Linked DNA regions of Neodiprion lecontei. The protein of the gene in region 2 purifies or fractionates together with the protein of the main gene of each other region. This does not show direct contact. Links are inferred from orthologs where the notes say so. Each region holds a gene or a part of one and is shown on either strand. Other genes may lie near its edges.

Region 1 (10,780 bases), on a different chromosome or scaffold from region 2:
GTCGATTTAACGAAGTAGCACTTTTTTCATGGTATTATGAAAATATTGAATACCCTCTGATAAATTCGTTCACTAAATCTATTCGGTGGATAAAGATTAGTAAAATTTACGAAATCATGAGAGCTACTGACTGATTACCGCTATCAAATAATATGTTGTGTCGTAAATGTACAAAAAAATTTTGTCGAAGTGACAAAATACATTCTATGGCGCTTTAAAAATCCTTTCTCGCAAGAGAAATGAGATGAGTAGTTGTTAGGATGGGCTCCAGGCATCTGTGTAGTATATAATCAGCGGAACTGAATAATTATTCGTGATCTAATATCATTGAATAGGCCAATCAATTCGCAACGGCATATTTTTTTGGTGTTGTTTGATGCGGTACTTGATTCTCGTAGCACAAGTCAAAATCGACCGACAATTTTTTTTCGGTTACAACGTTAAACAGTCATTTTTCAATCTTGAAAAAAACATTTCGCTGTGTAGATCTGATTTCTTAACTGGAACAGAATCTACGCTGAGAAAAATTTCATTTTCTACAGCAGCTAGAAAAATTCAGTAAAACAGGTATCGTTATAAAAACTGTTTGAATGTTGTTGGAATTACGAAAATCGAGGTAAACGTAACCATTTTTCGCTATTGTCGATCCTTTTTATGGTAATTGCAACGCTAAATCAGTTTCTGAGGTTTACTCTACTGTTTTAGATAAATAAGGCTTCAGCGTCAATTTATTATTGCACAAGCATTAAATTTTCGCAACAGTTGCTAGAAAATATAGTAACAGTGATCGTGATGAGAAAGAATAGTAACGGATACCAGACTTTTTGGTAACAGCTGGAAAACTAATTTTCATTTTGTACCTAGAACTATATTTTTCGATTATGGTAAAAAATGAAAATAGTTAAAAAATTTCTCTCAGTGATATGGGATTGTGGTGCCAAACATTATGTTTTCGGCTCGCTGTAAAATTGACTAATCATTTTGGTCAAGTAAAAATAATGTTTAGTCGGATGTATTATTTTGGTCGTTACAACTCGAATTTTTTTTCTGAATTTATCGTTTACTTTCTAGCTTCTCTGCTGCGTCAAATCTCCTGTGTAATTAGCGCCGATCATTCGTCCTTCTCTGCTGAGGCTTCATCATCGAAACTCTAATTGCTCTCAGAGAGCGTCAAATTCAAAGCAGAGAGCACGTCGTCTCGTTATACTCTCCATCATCGTGATTACGTCACACGTTCACCGTGCATTGTTCAATGTGCCAATTAAACGCGAAATATGCCTGAGACACGAACCGCGGAATAATGATTGAACCGAAATTGGAGCTTTTCGGAAGCTTGACAGAGCAATTCGTTACGTGTTTATACTTGTCCGGAAACGTGTAATTACGTTATTTTTTCCACTCCAGAGGCAATATTACGGGGGTCAGATTTAAATAGACGTACCGGCGAGATTTGCCATCAAAAGTGAATAAAAAAAAAAAAAAAAAAACTTTCCGTATTACTTTGTAACTTCCTTTTGTGTGTAAAAAATTTGAAAGTATTACATAAATTTTACTGCGAAAAAAAATATTTGAGTTCGGGTCTTTTGGATGAGGTTCGAGTTAATAATATTAAGGTAAGGAAACATTTTTAGAAACGTCACTATTTCGCAACTTTGGAATTATTTTTCGTCGCGTCGGCAAAGGAAATTGTTACTAATGCTCGTCTGAAAAATTCGTTTTTTTTTTTTTATTGAGGTAGCTCGGTCACCTCGTCGGCCACGAAATCAATCAAGCTAGAAAAAATTCATACTTCAATATATTCAAGTTAAAAAGTACATTTTCACGTGTGCCAAATTTCACTGTCGGAAATGTATTCCTTGACGCACAATCTTGCCAAAGAACTGATATCGAAAAGCTCCGTTTGCAAAGTAAATATATTTTTGAGTGATAAAATTTTTCGAAAAGCGATTGTAATGATTCAAAATATTCCAAAAAATCATCAGGCAATGGATTTGGATTGAAAGCAATTATTTGTGAAGAAAAGTTAGGATCAGCAGAATCGAAAAGCCACCAAATTCCAAAAGATGAGGAAATATCTCATTTAGGTTCTTATTTAAGTAAACGAATCAGTTCACCAAATGTCATTTCCCAATTCGAACATTACCGACAAACAGAGACATATTTTAAATAACCTTTTCGGCGCAGAAAAATAATACGATCCTTCGTAATTGGGCAAATAACATCGAAGCTTTCGTACACTGGCCTAGAAGGTAATTTAAAACTTGGTCAACTATAAAAAAATCACTGCGAACGGTTAATTTAAGCTGGTTAAATATTCGGCCGATGCTGATTGATAGAACGAAATTTTAGATGCTTGATTCCATCTGATGATTTCTTAGCTTTAACTTTAACTTAGATTGAATATTTTATTGCGGTATGTTCGTTTGTTACTCGAACAAGTGAGAATAGGTGAAATCTCAAAGGTTCTTAATCAAGCTTGACCGATAGAAATTTGAGACACACAACTTGAACTGCACTCGTGTGCGACTGGCCGAGTCGGTTGTTCGATTTGAAAATGGATCGCGTTGTGTTTATTAGTTCCGCCTTATTCCCGTGGGGACACGATTCACATATAACAGCTATGACAACATACAAACAGAGTTAAAGTTCTTCCCCCTCCTTATACATCGATTGTGAGTTCAGTGCAGGACGTGAATCACGGTTTACAAAATATGTGGTCAGTGCGGCGATCGAGGCCAAGCCCAAAGTAAATAAAATAAAAAAAGTTACTGAAACTAGATAATTATACGCGGTTCCAGCAACTCTCGAGCCATGATGAGTGCGTAATTAATGCAGATGATTTAATAATTCACGGAAGGATACAGATTCGCGATTAATTCGCACCCTAATCTGGAATTCGTACTGTTTTGTAAATTCGTTAATTCTTCAAAGTTATTCCAAGCTTGCAGGAGAGTGTTTTTCACCAATATTTCGTTGTGTCAACATTGCAACAATTTCTCTTCCATATATGAGGGTGAAGTTAGTAACGTTGTTGCGACGATTAACGTTTCGAAAAAACCGTTATGTCCCAGTTGCAATAATGTTTAAAATTCAGTGAGTCGTAACAAGACAAGAACTTGACTACTTCAAACTCACTGTAAACTTGAAATATAGTAATTTTTCGTTGCGTCAAAGTTACTAACTTCAGCCTTGTTTCCATATCTCGAATCCATCCAGCTTCACGTTTTTTTTTTAGAACTTCAATGTATACACGAAGCCATTTTTAACCGCAGCTGCGGATCCTGGCTGATCCCATAGGAAGAACCCCATGGGCAGATTTCTCCGTTCCAGAAACGTGCACAGCTGGCGCATCTTGGGTCGAATAATAAACGGTTTAAAATCAGTTACGTTCAGACACTTTTGGTACCGTTTTGCAACGCAGTCATTGAAACCTAACCGCAACGATGCCCTGACGAAGAAATTTGCGTGAATAACGTTTTCGCTAACTGCGAGTTAGGAGAAACTTTCCAAGCTTACGTTCTGTGGAGAAGATGGAAGAACCCATCTGCTCAGTTTTTTTTTTTTTTTTTTTTCTATAACGTTCACACGTGTACATATGGAACATTCCAAAACATTTCGACTTGCTCGCGATCCACACCATCTTCAATTTCATTCTCCAGTGTACGTTGCTTGGCGAATCGCAAAAATGCAATTTCCACAGTTTCAGTTTATTTAGAAAATGGGCTTTCCATCAACAACCGCACGGTCCTCGAAATTCAACAGTTAACCGCATAATTGATTTCAATGAAATTAATATAACGAATTCTTTGCCGAAAGGTAAAAACTTTCACTCCGGAATGAAAATTGGTGTGGATTTAATTTGAAAGAAACGAGCAATCTGATATAAAAATAGGGGATTTGATCACGAACCGTAAAATCCTCACGCTGGAGATGTTTCAATAACAATTCATTTGGTTAAATTTATCAAACCAGATATCCACTAATTTTCGCTTTAGTGTTAGACTGAAAAGTTTCGTTTTTTCGCAAAAACTCACTGACATAAATTTCATTGATTAAAATTAACCACGTTGTCAATTGATTTCGCGAATCGATCAATCGCAAGAAAATCGATTTCTCTAAAAATGACCAATTTTGCAAACCCTCTTTATCCGCATCGTCGAATAGGAGAACAGAATTGAAAACAGTGAGGATCATGAGCGGGGTCGAAATGGCCTGGAACTCCCCATATATGTACACAAATAAACGGCTCCTCGGGTCGCTTTCTACCGTCTCTCAGAGAATTAAGCCAGGACCAGTTTTAAAACCTAACATCGAATTCGTTTCCTCCGATCGATCGGAAGAACTTGGAGTTGTCTAAGAGCTCAACGATGTCGGTTGACCGAGGATCGTACAATACCGTAATCGCGTTTATCTCATAGGGGGTGAATAAATATTTTCCGAATGATTCGTCACCGCTCAATCCAGCTCTTAGTTTTTCGTCTCGAGTTGCTGGACGGCTACATACCGATATTCGGAGAGTGTTTCCAGCGTGGGTTGTGGCTCTTTCGAGCGGATGGTGGGCGGACGGATGGTTCCCCATGGTATCGATGCCTTTGGTTCAGGTAGTAAGTCGGGGGAAATATCCGAGAACAGGTAGTCGGTCAGTCGCGTTTACGTTCGTGTCGATCCGTGTTGGAATATATATATTTTCCAGCCTTCTCAGGGACGCGAAGCTGCACAGGTGCGGCCGGTTGCGTTAATCGAACGCCAACCGCGCTCAGTTGTCAATTCGCGAAAACTGCAACCGCCGTTTCACGCCTTCATCATCGGAGTGCCCGATAGCCAATTTTGTCACTCCGATTCCCGTTTCACCGACAACACAAGCCTCGGGGATTCGAAACTCACTCTCGATCACCGTCCCTCGATACTTGACCTCGTCGACCTTTTCCGGCCTCTTTCTTTTTAAACTTCACGAAAAACGTCACAGCTTCGAAGCCATTCCCGGCTGCCGCCCACCGCCTGGGCTTCTTCTATCCGTACTGACAAACGGGAAACGGTCAAACTTGGCTCACCCAACCTGCCTTTCTTACGATGACGTCACTCAAGAGTCTCTGCTACACCGCCGGCTTCTTCTCGCTTACGACGCGATTCCGTCGTTCGAAATTTCGAATTCGAATACCACCCGCCGTTCGAAATTTCAAAACCGAATCGCGCCCGACGTTCGAAATTTTGAAACTGGACTTGCTCCCGCTGTTCGAAATCTAGGTCAATTGAAAACTTGACTCAACTCTGCCGTACGAGATGTCACACCTTGAGATAATACCGACGTTCGAAATTTGAAAACCTTGCTTGCTCCCGCCCTTCGAAATTTGATAACTCGGCTCGCTACCACGTAACGGTTTTATTCGAACGCCCGAAGCGACGTTCCGTTGTCATCGAGACAGTTCAAATATTCGTCTGTGGTAAAGAAACGATTTTTAACGATCAATTTTGAATGTGAAATTCAGGTGATCGACATTCAGATTCGAGTGGCCGTTCTTATATTCGGTTTGCGCGAGTTTCACTCGCCATTTTGAAGACCGAACCTCTTTCGGTAAGCACCTGTAACGAGTTTATTAATCGTGCAACAGCTGTCACGAAACCTCTGCTCTGAAAGTGTTCCCACGTTTTTCCGTTGGCGCAACGTTCCGCTCAGTTTATAATACACTTCCGGCGACCCCACCGGAACTCGGAACTTCGTATGATCTCTCGCTGGACTAATTATTCAAACAATCGAACGCAAATCGAACAATTGGTATCAATATTCCCAAATGGTAAAGAATCCTCCTTTCACATCTGCAGAGATATTCTCCTCCTGACTTACAAACTTGGTAATCAACCTTTTATTGCTTTCGTTTAAATCGAGAATTATTGCGAACGAAACCGACAACTGTAAACATTGAAATTCACAATTTCATTAACTACACTTGACGTTTATATTCCAACCGCATCCGGGAGCGTCGTTTGTTTTCCGCTTCATAGTCTCTTGTTGTTTTTCTTTTACATCGTTTCTTTACAATGTAGTAGGAAAAATAGCAATATATCAGACTCGGAGTATGAGAAATTCACTTGATCGAACAACGAATATCGACGGTCAATCTATGAACGATTACCGCTTTCACGTCTCGGTGAATTCCAAATTTCGGATTCGAACACGACAAGAACGACACTTTTCTACACGAATATCACACAAAACACGACACCATGGAAATTGGACGATATCGAACCGTTGAGGCCGTTTTCGATGACGATTAACGGCTGAACCACAGCGGCCGCCGCTGCGTTTTTCCCCCCAAACCGAATGCGGTACGCGTACCCAGAATACTACGCGGCTCGTTCGACTCGATTCAAACTTGTACTCCACGAGGCGTTCTTTCTGCCTGCTGCCCGGTTCTCGTTGTAAGAACTCTCGGTAGTGGGGCGAAATGCCGGCGAGGAGTGGGACCACCAGGAGGGGGGGGGGGGGGGGGGGATCGGCTTGGAACGAGAGGTCTGATCCCATAGCCTCTCTTGTTCCCTCCACACAGGGCTATTTATAATATCGTATAACTCGCATTTCAGTTACAGTTGCATACATATATAATATATATGTATAGGTATAGTTACATTCTCTCGGCACGCATCGTGTACCTTATACCTATCGGTAAATATTATACCCATCTTACGGTAAGGTAACGAAGAAGACTTACGGAATGAAACGCAGAAAGTGAAAGTATAGATATGAAAATTTTTTCAGCAACCGACAAATTTCGACAATGTCTTTTATAGATTGTAAGATACATCGGTTTTCGAAGTTCGTTTTTGTCTGGAGTATCAATTTTTTTCTAATATTGTAAACGAGTATTTTATAGATGATAACAATAATCAACAACAATTTCTCTGGCGGAAAAAGATACGCGCTGAGGAAACTTTTTATTTCAGGCACACACCTTGGACGAAATATAATTTAACGGGTTTCGAAAATGAATTGGAAATGTTTTGAAGTGAATTATTTTTTTCAATCTCAGGTGGTATTTACAAGAACAATAATAAATTAGAAGATTACGAGTATTCTTAACGATTGTCAATAAGTATCTTATGAACGGTGAAAAATAAATCTATCTTCAGGTATATTGAAAAAATTTTAATTTCTCGGTAAAATTTTGTACGTAAATAAAAATTCAATAAACTTTACATGCAGTTTAAATACATAGTTTTCGTTTTATTTCATGTGAAATTTATAACTGTAGTATTTCATAAAATAACAATATTATGCGGCCAGAATTTTGCTAACATTCCTGAGAACAAGAAAAACTTTGAAACATTATTTCGAAAAACTTCAAATTTCATAGTACATTTACCATATAAATTGAAGTGTTACCGCAGATTTCAAAGACGAAACAGTGAAAAAAATTAATAAAATTCTCAATCAGTGTTTCATAAAATAATAATAATAATAGTAACAACAACAACTACAACAACAACAACAACAACAACAACAACAATAATAATAATAACAACAATGAACAAGAAATGTGTGAATATTCGTCAAAATTATCATTTCGAAAAATATCGATGTGGGCAGAAAAAGCTTCTGACACACTCAGACTTTCGGTGCGTATATTCAGAAATTTCTCCAGTTTTTAAACATTTTTCTGGTTACGATTCTGTGAAGTTTAAGGAAACTCTCATTCGCAATCACCTTCCAAAACTTACTAAATTCTTTCAGTACAGCAAAGGTCTTCGAATATGTCGGAGAGGTTCTACCAAACATATTATCCCAATATGGTAATTAATTTTTCGGTTCTGCTTTGACCTTAACAAACATTCAAAGATCAAGAAGCAGAAAGGAAGAAAAAAACAGTAAACAAGTACAAAAGAATCCTCTTCGTTGTTTCATATTTGTTCATTATTTTTTTTTCTTCTCTTGTCTTTTCGTTTTGTCCATTTAAAATTTTTTGTTTTTTCCTTTTTTTTCCCATCTTTCCTTATACAGAGAACGTGAATCGGGGGTTTTTGCAGAGACTCCTAGTGAAGGTTTCACCGTCGGTAAAGGACGAGGTGAGCCTGCCTCCGTTTAATGATGGGGAGAGAGAAAGAGCGAGAGGAAGAGAGAGTGAGAGTTGCGCAGCTGCCACGGCAAATGGTCGTACATCTGCTGAAGAACAGAAGAACTGCATCCAGCAAAGTCTAGCTAGGCGAGTGACGTTAATACCCGGCTTACAGACGTGCCTTCCTACCTAGAACTTCTTACCACGCATTTACTTACCAACAGAAATATAGTGTAACTCTTCAGGGGTAAGAACCCGCGTTGAGGGACGGAAATCGAGGCCAAAAAATGTGGAACCAGAAAGGGAAAATTGTAAGTGCGAGGAGTGAGGAAAAAATGCAAGGGGGATTAAGAGAAAGGGAAGAAAACTGCAACTGTTATACTCAAAAACCGATTTGTACAATTATTTCGCACGGCAATTACTGACACGCAAATTTGTCAAATTTTGAACAAAGTGATAACGTTATATTGTATATTATAAATTGGTAAAAAATTTCTTTGTCTAAACACCAGCGGAAAATTCAAGTAATTCGATTTAAAGGACAAATTTCTGTTACTTTAATTCAGTGTTGTCAGAAATGGTAATTGAAGAATCGAATATTTGAATGGAATAATTGAAATATTGATAGAGATTTTCTTTACATTTTTGAAGAACAAAAAACTGCTGCGTAAATCCCACGCAAGTACGCAAACTCGATAATTTTAATACAAAATCCGAAAAATGTCGAATTCATGATATTAAAATATGTATATATTCTAAAAAATAAATTATGATTGCGTTTTATACTATATTTATGAGTTCAACATAAAATTTTGGTGTGCATTATTTTATTGATTGAAAGTTTTAAGATCATCAAAATTGTAATTGGTGGCGCTTCTATTTTTGAAAAACTGTGTGCACGAGCAACAAAAAGCTGTTCTTCGATCGAATAGACGAAAATTGTTCCCTCTTCGCCTGTAATATCTTCATTACGCAACTAAGAATGCACAAATGTAAACCTGATTGCCTACCTGAGGCGCAAAGTGTCCGATTCTCCGTCGCCAAATTTCAGTATTCCTCCAGCCATCGAGTTTATCAGCTGTCATGTTTTCCGCTTTACCGCACGACTTTCACCGATAAAAAATACTCGATGATTTCTATCTTGCAGATGTAACAACGGATGAATAAACTAAGTACAAGTGCCACGCAGCGTGGATTTGCATTTCTGGCAAAAGCGCGATCGCGATTGACATCAAGCGTTTTAGTTACCCGTTGCTCTGCTGCGATTGCGTAATATTTCTCTAAAATAACCAGTAAGCATCGGATGAGAACCGGATTTAATGAGCCAACTGGAAAAATCAAGTTATGTCCTAACAATGAAGACGATTGTCTTTTAAAGCAAGGCGGAGTCGAGTGCCAGACTAATTGAAAGGCGCAGATCGCTGGTTTAATTATTATTATGCTCATGCAGTAGGCATACATTTCAATAATTAGAATCTTTCTATGAACGAGAGAATGAGAGACAATTGTTATTCCTGAAAAGGTCTTATTGTTTGTTGATATTCTTTATTTTTTTTTTTTTTTTCACATCACAAAAACGCGAGTCTTTAAGAGTAATTTTCATCAGTATAGAATGGCTGTAGTTTTTGTGTTGGATTTTTTTATCGATCGATTTTCAATTCGTAAATTTTGAACTAAACTTACAAAACTTTGATAACTGCAACAAGTAACCGAAAAAAAAACATTGAATTCATAGGCTACGGTCAGCTGTCATTCAAATCTATTCATTTCACATAATTCGAAAAATAGCGGCAATCAAACGATGAGCAATTTGTTTTTCAAAAAAAAAAAAAAAAAATTCAACCTTTAATTGCATTGCGGCAGAATCGTCAAAACTCTAAGATGTTAAATCTAGAAACTTAAAAAAATCCATCCTTCTGTTTTTTTTTTGCTCATTAGTGTAGCTACATCTTCTTCTACATCTGCGCGTTTATTTCGAAACAACATTTTTCAACCCGTTTGACATAAAATTTCGAGTTCTTTTCAACCTCTTGACGTCAAATTTGGTATTGGCCTTCAGTATATATCCGTCTATATCCCGAACCTCAGGTATTACGAAATTATTATTATTACCATTTTTAAAAACTCACAAGCTCGGAAAAAAATGGAGCGAAAAATTAACTTTTTCTTTAGACAGTGATATTTTTTTAACTGTCGACTTTTTTTTTTTGCTTTCGGCCGTAATAACGTTCTTATTGATCATGAAAATTGGTTTATTATAATTCTATTTCGGATGAATAGCAGCATTGAAATGACGTCAACCGCCTCAACCCGTATTTTTTCCATTGCAATATTCAGAGGCCCATAACTTTTTCAATTTTTGCTTTTTTGCATTCAAAAAATATTCTTATAAGTTCTTGAAACATCAATAAAAAGACCTCAAACAATCCTACGAAATAAAAAGGTTCTAAAAATATTTTTTTTCATTTTTCTATCAAGCTCAAAAAAACGCCCGAAATTTAGGCCTCTAGACTGGAAAACCTCCTCAATACGTTAAAAATTAAAGTAGAACTGGTTTTTTCTAAGCGTCTAAACACGCATTAGTTTCTACAATGTACACGGCCGGATTTCGCAAGATCGTACGATTTCAAAAAGTTTTGCATAACTTCAGAGAATCAACATTATTTTATAATGTGTTATAGGATTTCGAAAGATTTTGTACGATTCCACGCGATATCAAAGATTTCAGACGA
Region 2 (11,148 bases):
AAATCTATACAGATAAATAGACGTATTATGAAAAAAAACAAAACGCGAAAATCGATACTGATAAATGATAATCAAAGTTTCAAAGTCTGTACTTACTTCTTAGGGTTATAAGTGTTTTGTGCACCATTCGTAGCACCGACATTGTTTGGTGTTCCACTATATATATCACCAAGAACGTCCAAAAGAACACCAGTGTTGCTTGTCGGCTGGGAAGATGGGGGAGTAGAGAGGCCTAATAAATCTGCCGAATTATTATTGCTGACAGTTGCAGCTGATATTGCCGAAGGGGCTTCAGTGTGATGATTTGAATTAGGTGCTGGACTTTTGCTTTCCCTAATTTCATTCTCTGGAACTCGACCTGGTTTCTTTTTTTTCAGCACAGCCAAAATGGACGACTCTCGTTCTGGGAAAGCTGGCATTTCTTCTAGAACGGTAGCCTGACGTAGATGGATCAATTCACATATTAATATTTGATAATTAATAATGTCCAGTATACGTTGTATTGTTATCACTTACAAGGACATCAGTGGAGGCAATAATGCTCAGCTGTAAGTACTCAGAAGCTCGTTGCTGTAATTCTGCGTCAGCACTGCGTAGGTTGCTGTGTTGCTTGAAAACCTCTTGAATTTGAACACGAATTTCAGGGAATAAATTGACAAATTTGATGTAAGTCGAAAGCAGCAGTGCCCTTGTCATCGGGGAGCACAAGTGATACTGTAACAAAGAAGGTGAGACAAATATAATGAGTGTAAAAATAATCTGGATATTCATACGGCATCACACTCACTTTGGAATGTAAAAGTTGAAACTGTACTAGAGGAGACGAACGTTGATCACCGGCGATAAGATTCCCAAATTCACCCAAAATGTAGCCACCAACTTTGACCATATTTTCATGACATGCTGGAGCCTGTAAAGCCTGTTACACATAGAGAAGATAATTAGTACAATCACAGCAGTGTTTTGCCAACTATAATGAAGACAATTTTCCAATATAGAATTCTTACCTCGAACACAGTTTTAGCAGCATATCCCTGAACGTCATCTCGATTGATAACAATTTGAATAACCCTGTACCAGACCTCCTCAGAAACATAATCACCAGCTATCCTGATTAAATTTAGGATCACATCGACATACCACGTGTAATCAGTTGCATATTTTTCAGCTAGTATAGCTACTTTTAATACCATTTCTTCTCGGATCGAATAATCCGCAGTTTCTAGGTAATTCAGCATTTCTTGGACAATTTCTTCGGCATTGCTTTTGTCGCACATCGCGTAAAGTAGATCAACGGCTTGCTGTCTCACGGAAACGTCTTTTTCCATTTTCATTGAAAGTATCACAACTTCTTGATGCTTTTTCACAGCTTCGTGAGAAAATTCGGAAGTAGCAAGATGACACATTGATTCGAGTGCTAAATACCGTAGATTAGTCTCACGATTTGATAAAAATTGACCAAGCTGATTGCAAGCACGAACCAACAAGTTTGGCTCACTATCGTTATGAATAATCAAACTTATCGCCTCAAAAAGAACTGCATTTTTTGCATTAGAATGCTGTACTTTCTTCGATTTTGGTGCCTCCTGAGCTTTGTTCAATATGGTTTCAAGACATTCGTTCAGTCTTCCACGTACTCCTGGATCCTCGGCTACAGAAAATAAGTATAGATATCAAACGTTGGTTGAGTAACGTTTTAAATTAATACACTTATATTTTTTAAACTGTCAAAGTTTCTTACCAGGTGGAGTATAATTTTGCAGCAAACGAAGAAGTTTAACAGAGAGCCAAGGCGCAGGTACAAAGTAGTAGGTATAGTCCTGCAAATCTGTGTAGCTAGCCGTTACAATCTATGCAAGAAAAACTCGTAATTAGAGAATAATAGCAGAGTGGTCCTCATTCACTTATAATTACAGAGTGCCTAGTGAAAAAACTCGAAGTAATTACAACATTAAAACAGGTTTTCCACGAAAATTTACCCGGCTCAATCTTGAAACAGCAAGACTGACGCAGCCCTTATATTCGTCTGGATTTCGTTTAACTAACGCATCAATCAGCGATGCAGCTGCTGTGACAACACCGAGGTGTTGGTCATTCAGAAGATGAACTATGCGAGAAGTCCACTCTCCACCTGGAACCACCTCTGGTGCTGTCCTCAATAATCTCAAGAGGCAAAGGGCTGCGCTCTGTTTCACAACGTCCATAGTGTCTCTGTGGATTTACGATTTTCCCTCAAAAATTGCAGTACAATTTACTAAAATTACTTTTGTCATAATAAAGTTACAAAATCATCTTCACTGTGTTGGTGGGATTTGGATAGCGGAGTTCAATTAATACAACCGTAAATAAACAGGAAATTTGTAAGATCAATGCTTTGATATACAAAATTAAAAAGTATATTTGTTCTAGGGTACACTTTATCAAAGCATGTGCGCAACAACTTAAAAAAATATCTTGATTTGACATCTACATTGGAATTGCGACTGCTGGTGTAACAATGATAGGCAGTAAATTTATCTACCGAAATAAATCCCTGAGCCAGAATTAGCGATTTACCACTAATCGACTAATGTAGCAGCAAAAAATTCATTGACCGACATTAGAATTGGAAACGAGTATGTCAATTATGGCAGAAGCGAATTCCAAGACTGTAACAAGAATTTTACATCACCTAATATCCAGTCGCCTAGATCCATTGAGCAATTTAGGGATTATGTAAAACCGTGAGAATAGTGTAGAGAATGGTGAATTGTGCTGCATCTCGACAACTTACCCTGACACAAGCAGTTTTGGAATTTCGTTGCCAAACGCTTCTGCCATTTCCTTGCTGCCAATGTTGGCGATACATTGTAGAGCAAGATTTACGTGAATTGGATTTCTTGATGCAAGATCATTCTTGATACTTTGAATAATTAATTTAATAAGATCGCTGTTTGTATTTACTAGTACAGATATGAATAGATATCCCTGAAATGAGAAATTTCAATAAATACTTCTTTGCAGAAGCAAATGAAATAAATTTTTACAGTTCAACATAAAACTAGAGTAGAAAATAATGACTTACAATTTGTTTTTCTGAGTATTTGTTCGACGAAAGAAGGTTTACAGCTTCCATATGACCAAAATCAATATCATGTCCAAGTAGAAATATGAACAGTAACTTGCAAACATATTTTTTCTTCTGATAACCATCCAGCGTTTTATCGCCTTTAAACTTACTACGGATGTTTGCTAGCTCCTTGTTTATTCTCTTGATCTCTGCCTCCTTGCTCTTGCCTGTCAATTAGATGTTAATAAAGTATTCAAAGCTGAATTGATTCAAATTGAAATATACCTAAGCAGGCACTTATCCTGTGAACAAGAGATACGTTGATGTGTGATGTAAGAGAAAAAAGAAACAGGTATGACCACAGAACAGATTTTGATACTAATTTTCAGCATCAATTGCTGTAAATTTTCTTAGAACTGAACTAAAAATTACCATCCTTATTCCTGAAGTAAGTAAATATCCCTTTTTAGGTGCAAACATACTTTATCAAAAAGTATTCAAAGCTTAATTATAGACCAGCTATGAATGGAACGATATAACGTTAATTTACTCTCAGACATTTTTTTTCTTTTTCTAATTCGTACAAGACAGCTATAATTATGGCTACTTCCTTCAGCTTCATATGTGAGATATATAATTGAATAGATTTCTGATAAATCTCACGTGCAGGAATAATAACAGTTTTTTGTTGTTGTTACATGATATTGGGATATATTTTATGCAAAAAATGGATTACGAAATTGTCACGTTAAATCTCAAGAGTACATTATTCTAATGTCCGGTTATATACCTATTTGAAAATCTCTAGTATGGTCAATGACACATCTAGATGGCTCTTGGCCATTTGGCATAGTAGATTACAAATATTGATTCATTTTCCATCAAAGCAAGTTCCTCGAGGAATTCACTTTATTTGTAGCAGGGAAAACTGCTGTATATGTAAAAAGCAGCACTAACGAACGATTCAAACCGGAAAAGATCCTAAAATCCAATTCTTACAGAACCAAGAGGCCATAATTTTTCGTACTGGTTATATAAGAATTTTCGTACGAATTTTACCAAGGTAAGGAAAGCAATAAAACTTAATTAAAATATAGTAAAAAAACATTAGGTGTACATCGAAAGATAAATATGCCAGAATACGCAAACCGGCGTTATAAATTTATGGAGTAAATATAAATATACTTTTGTTAAAAATTATTACTTTTTCTCAGATAGCTCAATGCCATTAATAACATGATTATTCTCGGCAGAGATGTTGAATGTATATCACAAAATACATATCACAGTAGGTGTTACATGTTTGTGGCATGAAGCTACCGGACTATCACATATGGGGCAGTATCACAGAACCGCCCCCATTCCCCCATTCCACAAAAGACTATCATGTATCTCCTTCAGTCTCAATGGCACATTATCATTTCATCGACAGAAGAAACGTAATAGCAATTGCGATAAGCGTGTATTCCGGTCTGCGAATGCAGTCTGGTCGTTGCGAATTTCAAAAAAAAAATGCCGGAGCAATGATATAGAGAGATTTGATGCATGCCCATATTAGTGATTAAATTTCTTGTGAACCTGAGGCTTCAAAGATTTAGTGAATGAGTTTAAATAACAATGAAACTCACAATTTCTGATGTCTGAAATGAACACGGCGAGACCACGCATGCCATCTCCTCGCACGGCTGGCATCTTTGCCTCCTATTGCTCAGACGACCTAGGATAAAGGTAAACTAGTCATTATTAAGTAGATTGGGCAAGTAGACTGGAAAGAAAAGGCTGATATCTGATATAGCACTGATAAAAGTGTTGCATTATTCGAACTTGAGGTTGATTTGTAGTTCATAATCGATAATTTGCTGCCTAGAATGCTGTGTGACAAAAATTTTTGATACGTAACAATTTTTATTTATTCGCAAAAGAAAACCGACAAATTAATCTTGCCTGACAAATGTAGGTCTAAGAAAAATAAGAAACCACTTGGATTAGTTAATGCAAACTCAATCAATCTTTCAACGCATAAATTGATTTGCAATTAATCTATACTCAGATATACTGAGCTGCTTCTGGCGGAGCTAGATTACTAATACATATACGATTCTTACATGTAACGCAAGAAGTGTTTCAGACACGCATGCAGGCACGTTGAGTCAATGGCAATGAAAATATTTATGCATTGTTATCAGCTGACGAAAGGAGAAAAAAAAAAAAAAATTAAGAACAGTGTTAGGGCTGAATTTAAAAACCACCTTGCGCAAAAATCTGTCAACGGCTACTCAAAGTTGTAATAACAATTGGCAATGGTGCCAACGACATAAATAGCGTACCAGATGGTTGCACAACGAAAACTAATGGGCCAAAATATTCCATTTGTTGTTCGTATGCGGTGATTTACTCTAATTGTGATAACAAGCGAGGATTTTGACAGCGGACTGATTAGCCCCCATTTTGCACACCCCTGGAAATCAAAGATCGGACTTATCTGGTAACTAAACAATTCTTGGAAGAGCCTTATTACGGTATAAGTGATAAGTTAGACAAGAAGGCGATGCGGTGCGATAATATTGACCGGATAATTTCTTCCGCGGGAGGGGGCGTAGTTTTGACGAATAAATAGTAAAATATTTCGAAGAAACTTCGGCCCGATAGGCAGGCCCACCTCCCTTCGCTAATCGCTAATAACATTATTAAATTAACCGGATCACTTACGGTTATATAAATTGATTGCTATGGTTCTACTCACCAATATAACCGAGGGATAACCGTGCGGGTGGCGGAGTCACAGATATATTTACGACGAGAATTATACGCGAATCTGTGACAGGGATTTCGTGGCTGTCGCCATTTGCAACCGCTAAGCTGACGGCTCTATATTCTACGCTTGCTGCTCGGCCCTCGTATTTCGCTGCGCGGCTCGTGCGCCATTTTATCGTAACCAGCGCCATCCCGTGGACCGGCAAATTTCAAATAATATTACAAGATTCCGTTTTATTAGCTCCCTAATTATTCAAGCCACAGTCTGGGAGTTCTCGCAATACGTGGGACTGAATTCTGAGAGATCCGTTTCGGCGTTTTCGACAAAACACTCAAACTTTCTTTTGATTAATTCCTCGTCGATTCAAATTATTCACATGTCGTTCAGAGATTTTTATTTTTTATCCCATTATTTTATTGTTACACAAAAAATTATTAATTACACAACAATGGGCGGATATTTACAGTATGAATGAGTTTTGTAGATTTAGGACGATCAACGTCGTGATTCATTCAACTAGTTTGTTGAATCTTTTCCAGTAACATCTCAAGCCTATCTTTCATAACGGGTTGACCTTTTTTTGTTTTCTTCGACAACTTTTTGTACTTTAATGCCTTTTCTTCCCTATATTTTCTCAGGGCTTCGATCTTTTCTTCTTTTTTACGTTGAGCTTCTTCCCTTCTGTTCTTTTTTTCATCCTTTTTCTTCAAATATTCAATCTTAGCCGCATGGAAGGCATTTCCTTTGGGTTGCGGATTGCTGAAATAAGACGGAACAGTGCACGTTGTGTGAATATCAAGCTTTCAATATGAAAGAGAATTGAAACAAGTTATGTAAAAACTATACCTAGTCTCTGTGTCGTTATCTTTTGACTCTGTCTTTAAATGTGCTGCATTTTTTTGACCTTTTTGCAGATCTTTGTAGTACTGTCTGAGAACAGCCTTCTTTCTGCGATCCTCCCATTGGTCAACTGAAATATCATTAAATATTTAGCCCAGGCATATAGGTATGTCGCTATCAGAGATATTGTTTCAAGTCACCTTTGTACTTGTTGCTATACTTTTTCAACCTGTAGGTTTTTTTGTCGAACGGTTTCTTAGTTTGCTCGTTATTATCGCCCTTCTTAGTTTTCAATGCTTCATTTCTACCCAAATCTTTCCTGTTGTTCTGCATTATTCACAATTAATCGATCACCGACGGTTGACAACAACAATCAATTCTAATAGGTTAGAAAACCACTAGACGTGAAACGAGTGACATGTGAAATGCGTACACGAGGATTCTGCTTAAAAGTTAAACATAGAGTGCAGCACTATCGGGATTCACGAAATCGAACAGAGTTGAAATGTGGTTGAAGTACCCTCAAAATACCGGGATGTAAATATACATCATTACGGTCATGCAGATTTACTTGTCATCTTGCAGGCGACAATTTGTTGTGTTAACCTTCGATTCAGCGATAATAATTTACGGGGCGCGGTGAGTTCTCAGAAAGTAAAACAAGATAAGATAGATCTTGAACGAATTACGTTGTGCGATGGATGAAGTATAAGTACTCATACAACAAATATGTGTGTGTATTTGGTATTTGACTGTTACATTGATCCAAACAAAAAGCGCGATGTTTCATGTGCAGCTGCACCTTACATATAAACATCAGAAAATATAAAATTATTCAGGAACAATTGAATGTTGAGTATATTTTTAACGAATTTTAATTCTCCGGACAATACGAATAAATTACGTGTATCCATTTTATTCTTCAGGTCGATTTATCTTACACGAATAAATATTGTATGATAGTTACAATATGATATGCATATGCGAATAATATAGTCGGCGACTAATTTTAATTAACGTGCCAGATTTAAATTTAGCTTGAGATAAACTGCCAAAATTAAGCGTTGCTAATACCTAAGAGGCCATAGCGTTACAAAACAAACAAGACATTGAGTCGCGAGCAACAGCGATTAGGTACTCGTTTAAAAACTCTCGGAATGTATATTCGCCGTTGTGCCGTGCGGCACGTCCGACGTTGGTAAACACGTGTTTTTATAGCCGTAGGAGTAGTAAACTACATAGCGTAGTGAACGTTTACGCGATTTCCGGTTTCGTATTCAGAACGTCAAAATACGGGGTCGTGAAAATATCTACAATTTAGGATGCATGCTTTTCATAATTTGTAGATAAACAGAATCATTTCGACGATATCTATCTCGACCAGAACGAATAACAAGCAATGAATAATCTAATCACGACTAATCGTTCGTCATGAGCATCGAGATGTGGCTCCATTCCATCTTTGCGCGGTGATTGGCGTAGATTTCTGTCATTCTATATGCTGTAGCCTAGGTGTTAAACGTGCCAAAGTTAGTAGATCAGCGATTCAGGCAGATTTCGTCTGCGAAGTGGAGTTATAACACCCTATACATAGACGAGGAAACACATGCAGCCCAAAGTGCAGTTTGACCCGTTTGACCCGTATGAATTTTGACGTATACTTTAAAAGATGTTGAACGCTTTGGGTCCGGTGAAATTTATCTAGTTTTTCAGTTTACGAGAATTATAATTCTCCGGATAGGTATAAATTTACACGTTACAATCGGTTCTATAATGCCCGCAAGTCGTTTGGATGCGGTGTACAGGAGTCTTTTGCTCACAAAATTTTTCACCAAGGGCTGGGGAAAACCGGAAAATTTGAGGAGGTAAATATATTAAAACTACCTGAAATCTACTCAACCTACTTTCTATTATGTTCTCTTTATAATCTCTTTCGTTTTTACTCACAGGATATTTGAGTTCCGTAAAATTGTTGCAAATCGAGAAGCTTGCTACAATCTTATACCCACCAATTATCCCGTAACGATAACGAAGGTGACGTGTTACTATGTTTACAATTTTTTATCTCATACTTTACCGAAAACCGCTTTTATAAGTATTGAATGTTCTCATTGGAAAAAACTTTCATCGACTTCAAAATGGAACAAGAGATGAAACGAATTTTGCATTCACCAATGTTAACCTTTAAAATATAACCTTAAATAATCAGGATGAAGAATGGTCAGACTGTCACATTTTGGAGGGCTCCTTTCAGTCGCCTTTTGACCAAAATCTGCCAGGCCTCATGCCGGAAGAGACGCGAACTGCTTACTTCCAGGTTGTTTTGCCACGCAAGTGGGAATCCCAGCGAGTCAAACCCATTTGCTTGCATTTGGCCGGAACAGGGGATCACGTAAGTTTAACTGAACAGCGTGACAGCAGTTGCGAGAACTCTTTAGTAACTTTTAAATTTGACTTTCAAGTTCTATTGGCGCCGTCGAAATCTGATTGCTCGCCCTCTGCTCAAGGAAGCTGGGATCGGGGCTATTCTACTTGAAAATCCATTCTACGGTCTCAGAAAGCCCAAGGATCAGATGTAAGAACCTCCTGTGAAATTTGTACACATAACTTTTATTTATAAATACGTTATCTGTTGATAGACGTTCGAGCTTGCATAATGTCTCAGACATTTTTGTAATGGGTGGTTGTTTAATAATGGAATCTATAGTTCTGTTAAACTGGTGCGAACAGCAAGGCTTTGGACCATTAGGGCTTACCGGACTATCAATGGGTGGTCACGTTAGTAGTTTACATGTATTTATAAAATTTTTCAATGCTTTTTGAGAGATTTTATTAATTTTTATCACCTCAGTATCACGCTTGCTATTACTATCAAACATTGTTTATCAACCTTTTCAGTGCATAGTAAAACGTATAAAAGACGGCGAAGCAATCAGAAACAAAAATATTGTACTCACTCAGGATGTACCACGGCAAAATAAAGTTTCCATCGAGATGGTTGATAGATTATGATGAAACTTTTTTGAAATAACATCTTTACCGTATCCCAGCCAATGCTTAAAACATGAAAGCATTGGGTGGCTAGTATTTATTTCTAACAGATGATGGAAAAATGTATAGATGGCCTCTCTAGCAGCAACAAATTGGCCAAAGCCAATTCCTCTGGTTCCCTGCCTTTCATGGTCTACCGCATCACCTGTTTTCACTGAAGGAGTCATGAGCGCATCCATTAATTGGCACCTCCTTGAGTCCCAGTACTTTGCAGACGAAGTCTACCAGAACGATTTAGCAAAAATGGTCAAGGTCGTCACACAGGACGTAAGCTTCGATTCTTCTCAAATCATTTTCTTAATAGTTTTTCATGCAAAATTCAAACCAACGTTTTATAAGCTAAAGTAGTTGTTATTGAATGCAAAATAAAGTGGAGCAAATAATGATTTAAGAAATGCTTGTTATAGGACGCCTTCTTGGCGGGACAACACTTCGCGAAACATTATCCAGAGAGTATGAACAGGATGAACAAATTGAAGAAGGAGTCAATTGACTCCGATCGAGTCGTAACTGCCGATTCGAAATCAGAACAAAAGATGTCAGGTGATAAGCTGTCACGAGGAGCACACAGTCTCACCGACGTTCAAAACAACAAAAACAGTACTGACCTCAGTATCGACAATAATAATGATCATTTTAAAGATAATACAGACAATAGTAAAGATAAGACTAAAGATACTGTTGTCGACCAGGCAAGAATCGATATGGAGAAAGCGGATGCATTAGTGTTTCCCTTTAACCTTATTACTAGCAAATTGAAACTCACTGACAATGATGTTTTGAAAGGTGAGTTGGGTAATTTCTATGCATTTGTAGTCAGGCATCCCATTCTGCCATCCTCTGTGCATCTGCTGAAACAATTACTCAACCCCTAGGTAAGCCTGATCATAATAATAAATGTTGACTCTTTTTTTACTTGGAAGACAAAAACTTGACAAGAACAGACAATTCGTCATGAATATTTTTCAATTAATTCTCGCTACTTTTGTCTTATACTTTACGTTATCTCAGCATATCTTGTGCAAAGAAAAACTAACAATTCCAAGCTAATTAAACTTCTGTCACCTCCTGCATTTATGTATTACTACCTGTTATTTCCCATCCTGCCTGGCAAATGTTGATTTTCGATTGCTCTGAGCCAATCCGAGGATGAGAATATTTATAAATAACAACTCCGTTTTAGCTTGTATTGAATTGCGAATTTCCTGTACAACTTCCTCGGGCTGAATCAGCTAAGCAAGAATTAGCAAACGCGTCTATCAAGGTAGTGTTGAATCAGTGTTGTGTGACGTTAATGGGGGCCTTTTTGGAGCAGGAGTGTGCGCGTTACCCGTCACAAAACATCCCCTACTTTCAGACAGCAAGTGGAGGGAACGAGAAGCCTTGCAGTTCATGCGTGGCGTGATGGACGAATGTACTCATCTCAAGAATTTCGAGGTTCCAGTTGATACGG
Region 3 (11,242 bases), on a different chromosome or scaffold from region 2:
TTTAAAAGTTTCATGCATTACCTCCTGCAACAGCTGCTGCTTTAGCTCCATGCTTATTTTTCTTCCCTGCTGAAATAAATGATGAAGTCAAGGCAACAAATTTAAACATAATAGATACAATCTACAATTTACAATAAATATTATCATCTATCAGAGAGATGTGTAAGTTATGTGCCTACTGGATAGAATAGTGTTAAATTTTATACGTAACAGAAAAAAATACCATTCCATAAGTAAAAATACTGATATCAAGCTAAAACTAACACATTTCCAGAAAAATTTTATTGAAAAACCTTAGCACTATAGTTAGGAAAGTCGATACTCACTGGGTAAGCTAAATGGAGCAGATTCGAAGGGGTCTTCAGGCAACTCTGAATAGGTCATAACTAAGCTTTCACGGCTCTTCACACCACTGATGCTACTATTGCTACCTCTTCTAATTTTATCAAATTCAGCCCCAAAAATATGATCTTCAGTAAGTTGATTGAACGGTTGCGTATCTTCAAAAGGATTCCATGCAGCTACATCAGCACTTAAGGATCTACCATCTGTGCTGGTAGTTGTGCTTGAAAGTTCACCCTGAGAAAAAGAACAACTATCTGAATAAATGTAAGTAAGGCGTGTGCGATTGTATTACAGATGACGAAAAACAATCGCTAGCATCAAATTCTTACTTATTGTACACATATATATACAACAGTAATGTGTGTGCAGTGCAGAAATTGAAAATTAAAGTACTCAACAGTAAGCCGAAATAAATGTTACATGAATTTCACAAGCTCGACTGTTTACAATTAAATACAAATGATCGTAATGTATAAGGTCAAAACACCTATGATTATTTCATAGAAGTGAAGAGAGGTATTTTAGTTTCGAAGGAATTAGTAATAAGTGAACTAAAAAATAAAGGTGTGCAATAGGTACTTACAATACGTACGTGAGAGGCACTAATGCCTATGCCTGGTTTTGTATCCATTGACACATCGGGAGGTGTAGAGCCTCCGGATCGGGGTTTAACAGAGGCTTCGTACGGTGCTAGAAACTGAGAAGTTTCATTTGCAAATACTCTGTAAACATTGAAATAGCCACTGTAATTTAGTTATTTAATTTAACTGAGGCGGTTCGAGAAACAATACCTTCCACATCAATGATAGCAATTTCCACCAGATTGGAATTTCAATCTACAAGTTTTTGTTTTGAAAAAAATATAAAATAAAATTGTGAAACAGACTGCAAATATGCATGTAACTCAGAGTGATGGAATAGCTATATATAAATTATTGATCACGTTTGTATAATGAATATTCATGTGTATTAAAGAAATAGATTGCAAAGAAGAGAGCTTACTTGTTGAACGCGCTAGTATCACTGACATTCCTTCGATGTCTAGATGATGTTAGCGTAGGACTATCTGGTGGGGTTCCAGCTGAGCTGATGCTTTGACTTAGACTCTCCATTTTCGGAACAGGCTTTGGCAAGACTGGCGGTGGGACTGCGGATGGTATCTTAGTAGATGTCGTTGCCGTGAGTAATTTTGATGGCAGCTGTGTCGGTGTTGTTAGTTTTGGTGGGCCAATATTGGTGGGAGTCGTTAATTTTGGAGGTACCAAAGGTGCCCCAATTTTGACTGTACCTGGCTTAGGAGCAACAGGCGGTGGGATTTTTGCAGGTGCCATCATCACACAAGTGTCATCTTTAAACGGATCTGGGTAACCTGAGCCAAATTGTAGTGATGAAACAGGTTATCAGGGCATATAAAATTCGCTGATACAAATATAAGCAACGTAAAAATTTTTAATACAGATTCTTGACATTTTCTGTATATATATAGTGACATTTGACAATAGTAAGGATTGCTAGCGAAATAAAATAATTTGTATCTAAGATATTGATGATTTTATATTATTTGAGAATTAACTCACCAGACGAGGGAAATAAGGCATCCAAATTTTCCTCTTTAACAGCTGAGGCAGTCGTTCTTGAATCGAAATAATACGGGTTCTTTTCCTGAATAGTAACCGGGGATTGATGAGGGAGAGGAGAATGGCTAATCATCGGACTCTGAGATTGGCCAAACGGCGAGGGGGCCTGGGATTGGCCAAAGGGGATGGCTTGGTTCGGGGATGAGATGTGAGGACTGACCTGAACAAAGGATGATTGTGCAGACAGCTGTAAGGGCTGTTGCGGGTTTGTTTGAACGCTTTGTCCAAGATAAGCTTGTGGAGTATTAATGGGCGGGATCTGTTGACTAACAGAAGTATAGGGAATTGAATTCCCAAGTGTAGTTTGGGATTGTAATTGATTGCCCTGCCCCGATATCTGACCTATGATTTGACCACTTAAACTTATGGGACCAGCCGCTGCACTCTGACCTTTCGGCCTTTGTCTCGGTGCGACCGATGTCCCTTCAACCATCGTAACTTGTGTAAGCTTTTGAATTTTTACCGAAGAACGCTTGATAGCTTCAGATTCCAGAAGAGGACAGGGTAGAGACTCTATTACCGGGGTTGGAGCTTTCTGTAAATATACAAAAATACAATTTCCAATAATCTTTTGAATCTGAGTCATTATAATCTGCCAATTGCTAGGACCACTCAATTGAACAGTAAAAAATACTTACGTGAAGGTTTTGTATTGGACAGTCCTTGCCTTGTAACTGGAAAGCAACTACCGAAACTTGGTATATATCTGGTCTCAGATCAGGATCGGGTTCTAACATGTATCGAATTAAGCAATGAAGTGCTTTGCTATATCTGTAAATTGAGAAAAAAGTTAATATAACCAGTCATGCTACTACAATAAAATATTCAAGATAAGCCAAAAGTTTACCTCGAACTTTCTGGTATGGTAAAGTTTCCTGATTGAATAGCAAGCGTACTCTCGCCAAAAGGTAACGAGAAAAAGCATAATTTATATAACAGACATCCTAGAGCCTGTAATAGAATTAAATTCTTTAGAAAAGAGGGAATGACGAACAAAATTTGGATTTCTACAGCTTCTCAACCTGCATTGACATGTAATTCACATGGTAATTCAAAAATATAATCATCAGAAATTACCCAAATATCTGCTTTTGTTGTGATGGTCTTGCCGCAGTACATATCAACCATTTCTGGAGCTCTATAACTAAGAGTTGTATACTTTTTAATTTCTTCTTCTACTATAGAAGCACCTTGAACACTTGGATTCAATACTTTTCCAGTTGCAGATCCAAAATCACATAGTACGTAATGACCAGAATCTGCTAGCAAAATATTTTCTACCTGTGACAGATAAGAACATCACCATTGAAACTAGCAATATCAACACGTAAAAGAAATAAAAATTGGATACAAGTTTTTTTTTCTAAGACTGACCTACCTTAAGGTCTCTGTGTAAAATAGGCGTCTGGCAATGGTGCAAACGCGAGACAGCTTCACACACGTCACAAAATATCTGCAAGACTTCAGTTTCGCTGAATCCAGTTTGTAGCCTGCATGATTTAAAGGATAAACGTTGTTGTTTTTAAATTTGAAACGAACAGAGGTATGTGTGAGATTACTATAGATGGACATTGCTAGTTTGTACAATTGAATATCTAATAAATATCTTTTGTCTGCTCCGAAAATTGAATGTATCAGTAAAAGTAAAACTAAAATGTTAATCACAAACATTATCCACGTATAACTGACCTGTTATTCATCATTTGAAGAACATGAGATTTGCAATATGGCATTAAAAGGAGGAGTTCATGAACCCCACCTCCAGTGTGAGTGATGCTGCTATCCACATATCCTATAATATTTTTATGACCGCTGAGATTGCTCTGAAAATTGAATTGATATGCTATATTGTACAGCAACGATAATGTAATTGTCTTTGGCCGAGCGGCCATGTTCAATATTTTCACTTTACTGTTTGTGTAACTATACAGGCATATGACAAGTTATCACAAGTGTTTACACAACCTGGCAAGGAAGCGAGCCTTTGTAGAACAAGCAATTACTCTTAATTATATTCCCATGTCCTGGGTTTACATATTCGAGAGTATCAAAAGGGCATAATCTCATCGTATAAAATTTTTGCTACAAAATTGGCACTTGTTTGTAGCAAAATTCTGAAACGAGTTTGCGATTTTCAAATACTTACAGCAATTTGTATCTCTCTTTTGCATACGTTGAGATCATGTTCATTATTGACATACATGCGTTTGAGCGCATAACGCCCACCCGATGCTTTGACCAAGAATACCACAGCAAAGCCACCTGGAATTAGGGATGTAATTTAAGTATATCTAATTATTATTTTCAATAGTGAGGTGAAAATTGCTTTTTCCAACACATCTAAAATTTATTATTAGTAAATCGAGTAATTAAGTATCCAGCTTCAAATTTTTCTGATCCCTTCTTTATTGTGTCATATCATGCTCTCTGTCAGTATCATAATAATAAATATGTAAGATTAACACATGTCAACTTGATATGACGATAGAGCTGTATCATGTCTGTAGTCTGAAACTGAGCTGTTTTAATTCAGGAAAGTCTAGATTATATGCCAGTGTCATTTTGATACAGTTCAATAAGTACATCGAATAATTCAGTCTGATTAATGTAAATCACCAATTGTTTTATATTAGCGCTTTGCTCGAGTTAATATTTTTAACCTTGGCAGATGAATGTTTAAATTTTTATTTGCATGTTGCGTATGATGTGAGGGGTTTTTGGTATGTGATTTTTAGCAGCGCTGTAATGTATCATCTGAAAATGATACTGATTCAATGCGATTGAATAAAGAAAGTTTTTTCGCCAGTCATTTTTATTCCCAGTTTAGCAATAAATGAATCATAAGTATTGCGTACCGAGTTGTGGGAGTGGTTTGTTGGATTAGTGAGAAATTTGTAATGAAAGGAAAATAAAGAAACTTGAGAGAAGTGAACGGCTTTTATTCAAATCTGGAAAGATTAGGAGAACATCCCTGCAATCATAAAAGTTTAATAACACTCGGTAATCTATCACGGTAACGGTGCTTGTCTTGCGATAAACTTGTAGTCCCGGTAGATAAGATTGAGACATGAGATTAAAAGGCCATAGCACCAGGTAATGCTGGTTAGAATGGCCAAGAATGATCGTTGCGGCTGACTGAAATGCACGATACAAACAACTACGCACCTTCCTCAGGTTTCTTTCGAGCCTTCTGTTTTTCAAACCAACCCCACGTTGTGTTTGCACAAGTGAATCGACGAGAATAATTCGCGTTGCAAAAACAATAAAACGAATTACGTACGAGGCTGGAAACGGAAACGAATTAGATTCCATTAAGGGAGTTGGATATAAATGGGGAGTACGTACGAATGCTCGGAATCGTTGAAAATATTGAAAATGGTGTTTGTTGCGCGAAGAAATGAAAGGGCCGTGAAATTGTAATAAACATAGCGACATACAGCGATAGTAGAGATTCCAAGACGGGAAACGATCGAGGATGAGGGACGAGATATTACACGTCGCGGGTTACGCACCTTCAGCGAGGACATCTTCGACTGTAACGGTGTGACGGCCGACGACAAATACTTTGCCGACATAGCTGTTTGGCTCCTTGGCTGTGTTGTCAATCTTTGTTTCGATTTTTGAGAAGAGTTTCTTCATTTTGGCACGTCGTTGTCGTCTGCGCTACTTCTTCGGCTATCCACCCAATATTAGACTGGCTTGACATAAGGCCTCCTCACACAGTGTTTTACGATTTATAGACGAGTCTTGGCCGGCGGAGTTACTCCTTATTTTATTCCAACTATATTTGCGTCCTCGACCGGCAATCCGCGTGGAAATTGCGCGTAAACTTAACCAACGAAAATCAATTTTATCATGATAACATTCAACGTATTTCACCCAGCCGACATTTTAAGACAGCGTTAGTTGCGCATGCGCGGCAAAAAGTCACGCTGCAGCAACTGAAGTGAGGCTAATACACCGGAAACATATGTCCCTGAGTTCCGGTCTAACGTCAAGTCTTGAAATACCAAACACCGCAAACATACAAGTCTTTCCCAAACGTAAACTTCTCTTACCGTCGGTTTTAACCTTGCCAACGAATTAGCGTCAAATTACTGATAATATCACAACGCCGCTGATTGGATTCGTCCCTTGTTGTTAACCTACGAACAGGAAAATGAGTGATTTAGAGGACGAGGATGTAATACTCGACGACATAAAAGCTCTCCAAGAAGTTCTTACGAAAAAACAATCGGACGGTTTGAAAAAGGAGTTGGTTTCCGAAGATCCATTTAGAACAGAACACAGTCAATGCGAGCCGTCAACGTCTCAAGCGAACAATCCTCTATCCCCGTCGAGCACGATTCAGGACTGCTGCACTGTCGACCCACTTGTCGATGGCGAAGAAAGTGATAACGAATGGAACGAGAATATCAATAGCAGTTTGGATCTTTCGAGTCCCGAGGCTGCGTTGAATCTAAATAGAAAAATAATAAATCTCTTGGTGAATGCTCAAAGAAAGCTTCGCCTCTTGCTCAAAGAGTGTCAGCGTAAACAAGTGCTAATAGATGAAAAACTTCAAAAGATAAATTCCAACCCATTTTCTAGAACGCTATTAACCATTAGCGGGATCCCATATTTCAAAGACAAGCGTCATTTTCCTGCACCCAAGAACCAGGACGCTAAGTTGAAAGCCAATCGTGGTGAGCTACAGATCATTGAACTTCCGTGCCCTTTGCGATGGACTCTGAAAGATCGGAACACGCTATGGGAGGCTATTTTTTGCGAGGCTAAGATGATTGCCCAACAAGTAGCAAGAAAACAACAACCTAATAACGGGCAACACTTGAGCTATGCAGAGGATCCTCTGAACCTGGAATTCAAGCTGACGGCTAAGAGAATACCGGAGCAGATAGCTCAGACCTTCAAGAACTTGGTTGGTCCGATAGGATCGAGGGAATTTGACTGGTTGAAAATAGCAGTAACCGATTTCAATGAGAGACATTCCGCCAGCGAGTGCAGAGCAATGTGGAACGTTTTCCTACATCCTGACATCAACAAGAGTAAATGGAAGAAGGCTGAGGATATGGATCTAAAAAAGTTGGCTGAGAATTACAACTTTCAAAACTGGGACCTAGTGGCTGAAAAATTGGGCACAAATCGTACAGGATATCAATGTTTTATTAGATTCAATACCAATTTTAGAAACAACATGTTGAACAGGAACAGTTTTTGGTCAAAAGAAGAAGACCAGAAACTTATTGACGCTGTAAATGGATTGAGGACTGGGAATTTTATTCCATGGGGAGAGGTCGCTAAGCTTATGGGACAGAGACGAAAGCAGCAGATATACATGCGCTGGAATTACAGTCTTGCTCCTAATTTGAAAAAGGGTAGATTCACCGAAGAAGAGGACAAGCTCCTACTTGCAGGTGTTAACAAGTTTGGGGCTAATTTTACAAAAATTTCAGTTTCTCTGCTGCCTCACAGAACTACGGCGCAGTTGAACGATCACTATAGAACACTTCTGCATGAGAAAAAAAATGAGTGGACTTTACAAGACGATACCAAACTGGTAGATCTCGTTGAAAAATTTGGCAACAATTGGTCCGCTATTTCCAAAGAATTCTCCAACAAGTCTAGAGTCCAAGTTAGACATCGCCATACGTCGATACTCCGATATCTGAGTCGGGGCTTGTCCCTCAGATCCATACCCAGGTGGGGACAAAAGTCTGAAGAAGTTTGCATCGAAGATTCAACGATGACTGGTGAAGAAAGGCTTCAAGAAATAAGTAGGTGTTTGAGAACTCCGTATGAAAAGGATGGAAACGATGGAAAGAGAAGTAATCTATCTGATATTGATATAGAGCTTCAGGATTACTTCAAAGGAATGTATCGAACCACTTCGAAACCTGGAAGAAACAGCAAATTTTATACTGCCGAGGAGCTCAACTATAAAACTCCGAGGCTTCACGTTATGTTGCAACTGCTGAATGCTGATCTTGATATTCCTGATGATTTCGACCAGGAACCACAGTTGACGGAAAAAGATAAGCAGCTGCTGACTTCCTTAGTAAAGTATTCAAGGGATGAAACCCTGGCGTCTGACATGCAACAAAAATTGGTTGAACATACCAGGCAAAAGATGTTTGGATCATCTATGGTGACAGAGTGTGAAGATCGTTTTATACCACCGTTTCCATTTGATGGTAAGAAAATTATCTCACGAATTAAAAAAGGAACAGTTACCGGAATAAATTACGATCCTACGAACGAGCCAACCACTGTTGAACTAGATAAAAACTTCAAAACACCTGAGCTAGTCATATCGCAAATGGGCGGTTTGCAAAGCGAACTTGCATTTGAGAAGATGGCCAAGAAATTTATCGGCAAAACCGAAAACTTTCCGACAGATACTGTGTTTTCAAAGGAGATACCTGAACGATCCGGTAAACTATTGCCGATAAAATTCATTTCCCTACCAAATAGTGGGAAGTTAAATAGTGCAAGTGAAATTATTGATATGAACGCCCCAAGTACATCAGGTGTCGTTTCCAATCCAGATACAAGTGAAACAGAGCAAAGTATGCCAGGTATAAATGAGTCATCTTCGAAAATTACCAGAAGGAAACTCACCAAGTATTGGCCAGAAATGCTGATACCTCCAAATTACACAACTTTACTAGGGTTTCGTGGAATATTATTATCAAAACACATTCTTGAGGCAGATAATTTGGTGGAAGACGAATATGATGAACTTGAAGATTATAGGATGACAACAGAGGGTCGACAAGCCTTGGAATTATTTGAGGAACGTTTAGCTAAGCTTTTTAAATTTCCTATAGAATTGTCCGAAGTAGCACCACCTGTATTACACGATATGAGAGAAAAAGATTTGGACAGTGTTGGGAACAATTGTCAAAGAAGAAGAAAAGGCAGTAAGGAATGTGGGGGATCGGAAACAAAAAGAAAAGCAAAGTTTGCAAAACTCAATGTTGAAGAAATTTCTGAGACATGAATTTCATAAAAAATCAGCTATCTACATTGTATATGTACAATGTATTCTCCCTTAATGGTTCAGACTTGTTAAATGACACTGCACAACCTTATGTCCTAAAGTTTACTCCAATTGTATTAACCTCTTAACCTACGATTTAAGTTCCGATTGCGTGAGCCTATAATCAACAGCAAGGTCGGTCATATGTGTAAATATCACGGCTCTCACTCGTGATTCTCATGTTTGGCCCGATCGACGTAGCACGTCTCCCATGACATTGTAGGTACAGGGGTTAACATCATTTCTATGTTTATCACGTATCGTATCTGTGATGATATTCATCATATTTATATACTAAAAAACTTCGCAATTTCGATTGCACTTGCAGCTAAAGTATATAGCTAATATGTATATCCATTACGAAAATACCGTTTAATACCTTTTTCTATATTTCTACAATGTAATCATTTTGTCTCATGTTTACTATATTTATGAGAATTACAGTAATTGAACAATCCAAAATTATTTTATAATCTCAAAACCGTCATAATATAATACTAAAAGAAGCTGCAGTGTCTGCTGTTATTTGTGTTTTAAATAAAAATATATTTTCTACAATATGTCGGAAACACTCAAGCTGTATGACGCCCCTATGATGTCCTTGAAAACACAATACAATTTCTTGTCGATATTACTACTCTCAGTACCATAGACGAGTTACATGTGTTCGCGGATAAGCAAGAAAGAATTTTCCTTTCTTGAAGAATTTTATTTGCGTACTACATCATAGTTACATAATATATTTGATGGGTGAAACTTTATAAAATACAACTGTTTATGCTTCGACTTGTTTTAATTCTTCACTGCTTTTCTCTGTACCATAAGCTCCCAATTCCGTCAGGAGATCCCGTTTCTTGTCAAAGTACTCTTTGAACCACATAATGTGGTCTTTTTTCTCTTGAGCAGTCATAAATGCATTTTTAGATAGCCCAACACATACTAATTCCATAAAGTGTCTGATGGGTCCTTTTCTTGGGCACCAGCCTTCTAAATACGGTTCCAGGAAGACGTGATCGGAAAAGTGTTCCTCTTGATCGATGGTTAGATCTAATAAAATAGAAAAATTCAAATTTATGTCAGGTACACGAATTATAATATTATTCTCCAATGGAGAGAAATTAGCTTATTTCAGCAAAATTAAATTTCATTGACCCGTAAGGAAACGAGTGAGAAATGGCAACAGTCGAACATACTAATTATACTATAAAATTTAATCTAATCTAGTTTTGTTCGATAAAAAAAAAAACGTGCGAAATTACGCATAACATGTAAAAATACCTTGTTCATTATCAATAGGGAATCGCCAGAGTTTTCCCTGTTCGGTCCACTGAATCATTTGGTCAATAAAATGAATAGGAGGATGAGTGACTAAGAGCTTTAGATCCCGCTTCTCTAGATGGTCCCAAGTCTGAAGAGTGGGTATGTTAGGATCGACCACAGCTTCAGGATCCATTTCGAAAATACCCAATGGGTTTCCCGAATCAACGGTAACTCTTGCATTACTAAAAATCAGGAAAAGTGTTAGAAATTTCATTCTACACTCTTTGAATTTAATTGCATTGAACAGGTATTTTAGAGTATACAATTGAATTGGACAGACATGTGTATTTTTTTACGACTTTTTCCGCTGAATTTGGGCCTACTCATCTGTTGTTGGATCGGAGCATTTTGTTTAGTTTTTTGTATTATGTCATGAACCTGGTCTGCCCGGCTGTTTGATTGATATTCTTGGGGTTTTCTGCGATCTATGTTCATTCCTTTGACCAGTTTACTGCAGGTAAACAATCATACAGTATTATTTTGTGTATATACACGTTGCATGTATTATCAATATGTTTAGTAAAATTAACTTAAAGGCAAACCTCAAATCCATGGGTTCTTCAGAACTTTTACTTGGAGTCAAGATTTTTTTCAACAACTCTGATTCAGTTTTGCTTGTATCCCCTCCAAAAGTTGCTGCTACATCTTTGGCTGCGCCGGTCAATTTCTTTTCTATGAAGAAATTTTCTATCAGGCATGATTTTTAGTAGATACGCTTTTGCCTTGTTCTCATAGCTTTTTCACTTACCAAATAGATTGACAATTGTTTTCTCATTTTTCTTTGACAGTTGGGATCTGGCATTGCTTATTTTTTTCGGTTTTACTGCAATATCAACTTTGGATGGGGTCTTCGCATTCTGCAAAAAAAAGTATAATAAATATCGTGTAAGGAATGGAAATG

What was found.
Region 1: the proteins of AP-2 complex subunit alpha (region 2) and protein numb purify together in Drosophila melanogaster (affinity purification with western blotting; 5 studies listed by BioGRID). This does not show direct contact. The link is inferred for Neodiprion lecontei from reciprocal best matches to the Drosophila melanogaster genes AP-2alpha and numb.
Region 3: the proteins of AP-2 complex subunit alpha (region 2) and BMP-2-inducible protein kinase purify together in Drosophila melanogaster (affinity purification with western blotting; 3 studies listed by BioGRID, with this or other methods). This does not show direct contact. The link is inferred for Neodiprion lecontei from reciprocal best matches to the Drosophila melanogaster genes AP-2alpha and Nak.

What each region holds. Positions count from the first base shown.
Region 1 is NC_060261.1:16,628,100-16,638,879, forward strand, and holds the start of protein numb, read right to left. Parts: upstream 6,379-10,780; 5' UTR 4,580-6,378; coding exon 4,505-4,579; intron 1-4,504.
Region 2 is NC_060265.1:7,700,199-7,711,346, reverse strand, and holds the start of AP-2 complex subunit alpha, read right to left. Parts: upstream 5,910-11,148; 5' UTR 5,793-5,909; intron 5,535-5,792; exon of another isoform or gene 5,461-5,534; intron 4,767-5,460; 5' UTR 4,742-4,766; coding exon 4,678-4,741; intron 3,277-4,677; coding exon 3,065-3,276; intron 2,968-3,064; coding exon 2,774-2,967; intron 2,212-2,773; coding exon 1,980-2,211; intron 1,851-1,979; coding exon 1,742-1,850; intron 1,652-1,741; coding exon 1,008-1,651; intron 920-1,007; coding exon 788-919; intron 715-787; coding exon 517-714; intron 438-516; coding exon 97-437; intron 5-96; coding exon 1-4. Other genes in the region: rRNA-processing protein FYV7, read right to left, coding at 6,317-6,563, 6,651-6,774, 6,845-6,977; protein ABHD18, read left to right, coding at 8,418-8,509, 8,594-8,678, 8,854-9,036, 9,107-9,219, 9,284-9,422, 9,765-9,962, 10,103-10,481, 11,011-11,148. UniProt on the Drosophila melanogaster protein: Adaptins are components of the adapter complexes which link clathrin to receptors in coated vesicles. Clathrin-associated protein complexes are believed to interact with the cytoplasmic tails of membrane proteins, leading to their selection and concentration.
Region 3 is NC_060260.1:5,814,236-5,825,477, reverse strand, and holds the start of BMP-2-inducible protein kinase, read right to left. Parts: upstream 5,879-11,242; 5' UTR 5,622-5,878; coding exon 5,495-5,621; intron 4,245-5,494; coding exon 4,129-4,244; intron 3,806-4,128; coding exon 3,672-3,805; intron 3,473-3,671; coding exon 3,361-3,472; intron 3,264-3,360; coding exon 3,060-3,263; intron 2,934-3,059; coding exon 2,830-2,933; intron 2,754-2,829; coding exon 2,621-2,753; intron 2,518-2,620; coding exon 1,923-2,517; intron 1,715-1,922; coding exon 1,348-1,714; intron 1,068-1,347; coding exon 929-1,067; intron 580-928; coding exon 327-579; intron 70-326; coding exon 22-69; intron 1-21. Other genes in the region: snRNA-activating protein complex subunit 4, read left to right, coding at 6,142-8,982; 28S ribosomal protein S31, mitochondrial, read right to left, coding at 9,797-10,068, 10,300-10,523, 10,622-10,792, 10,884-11,013, 11,090-11,198.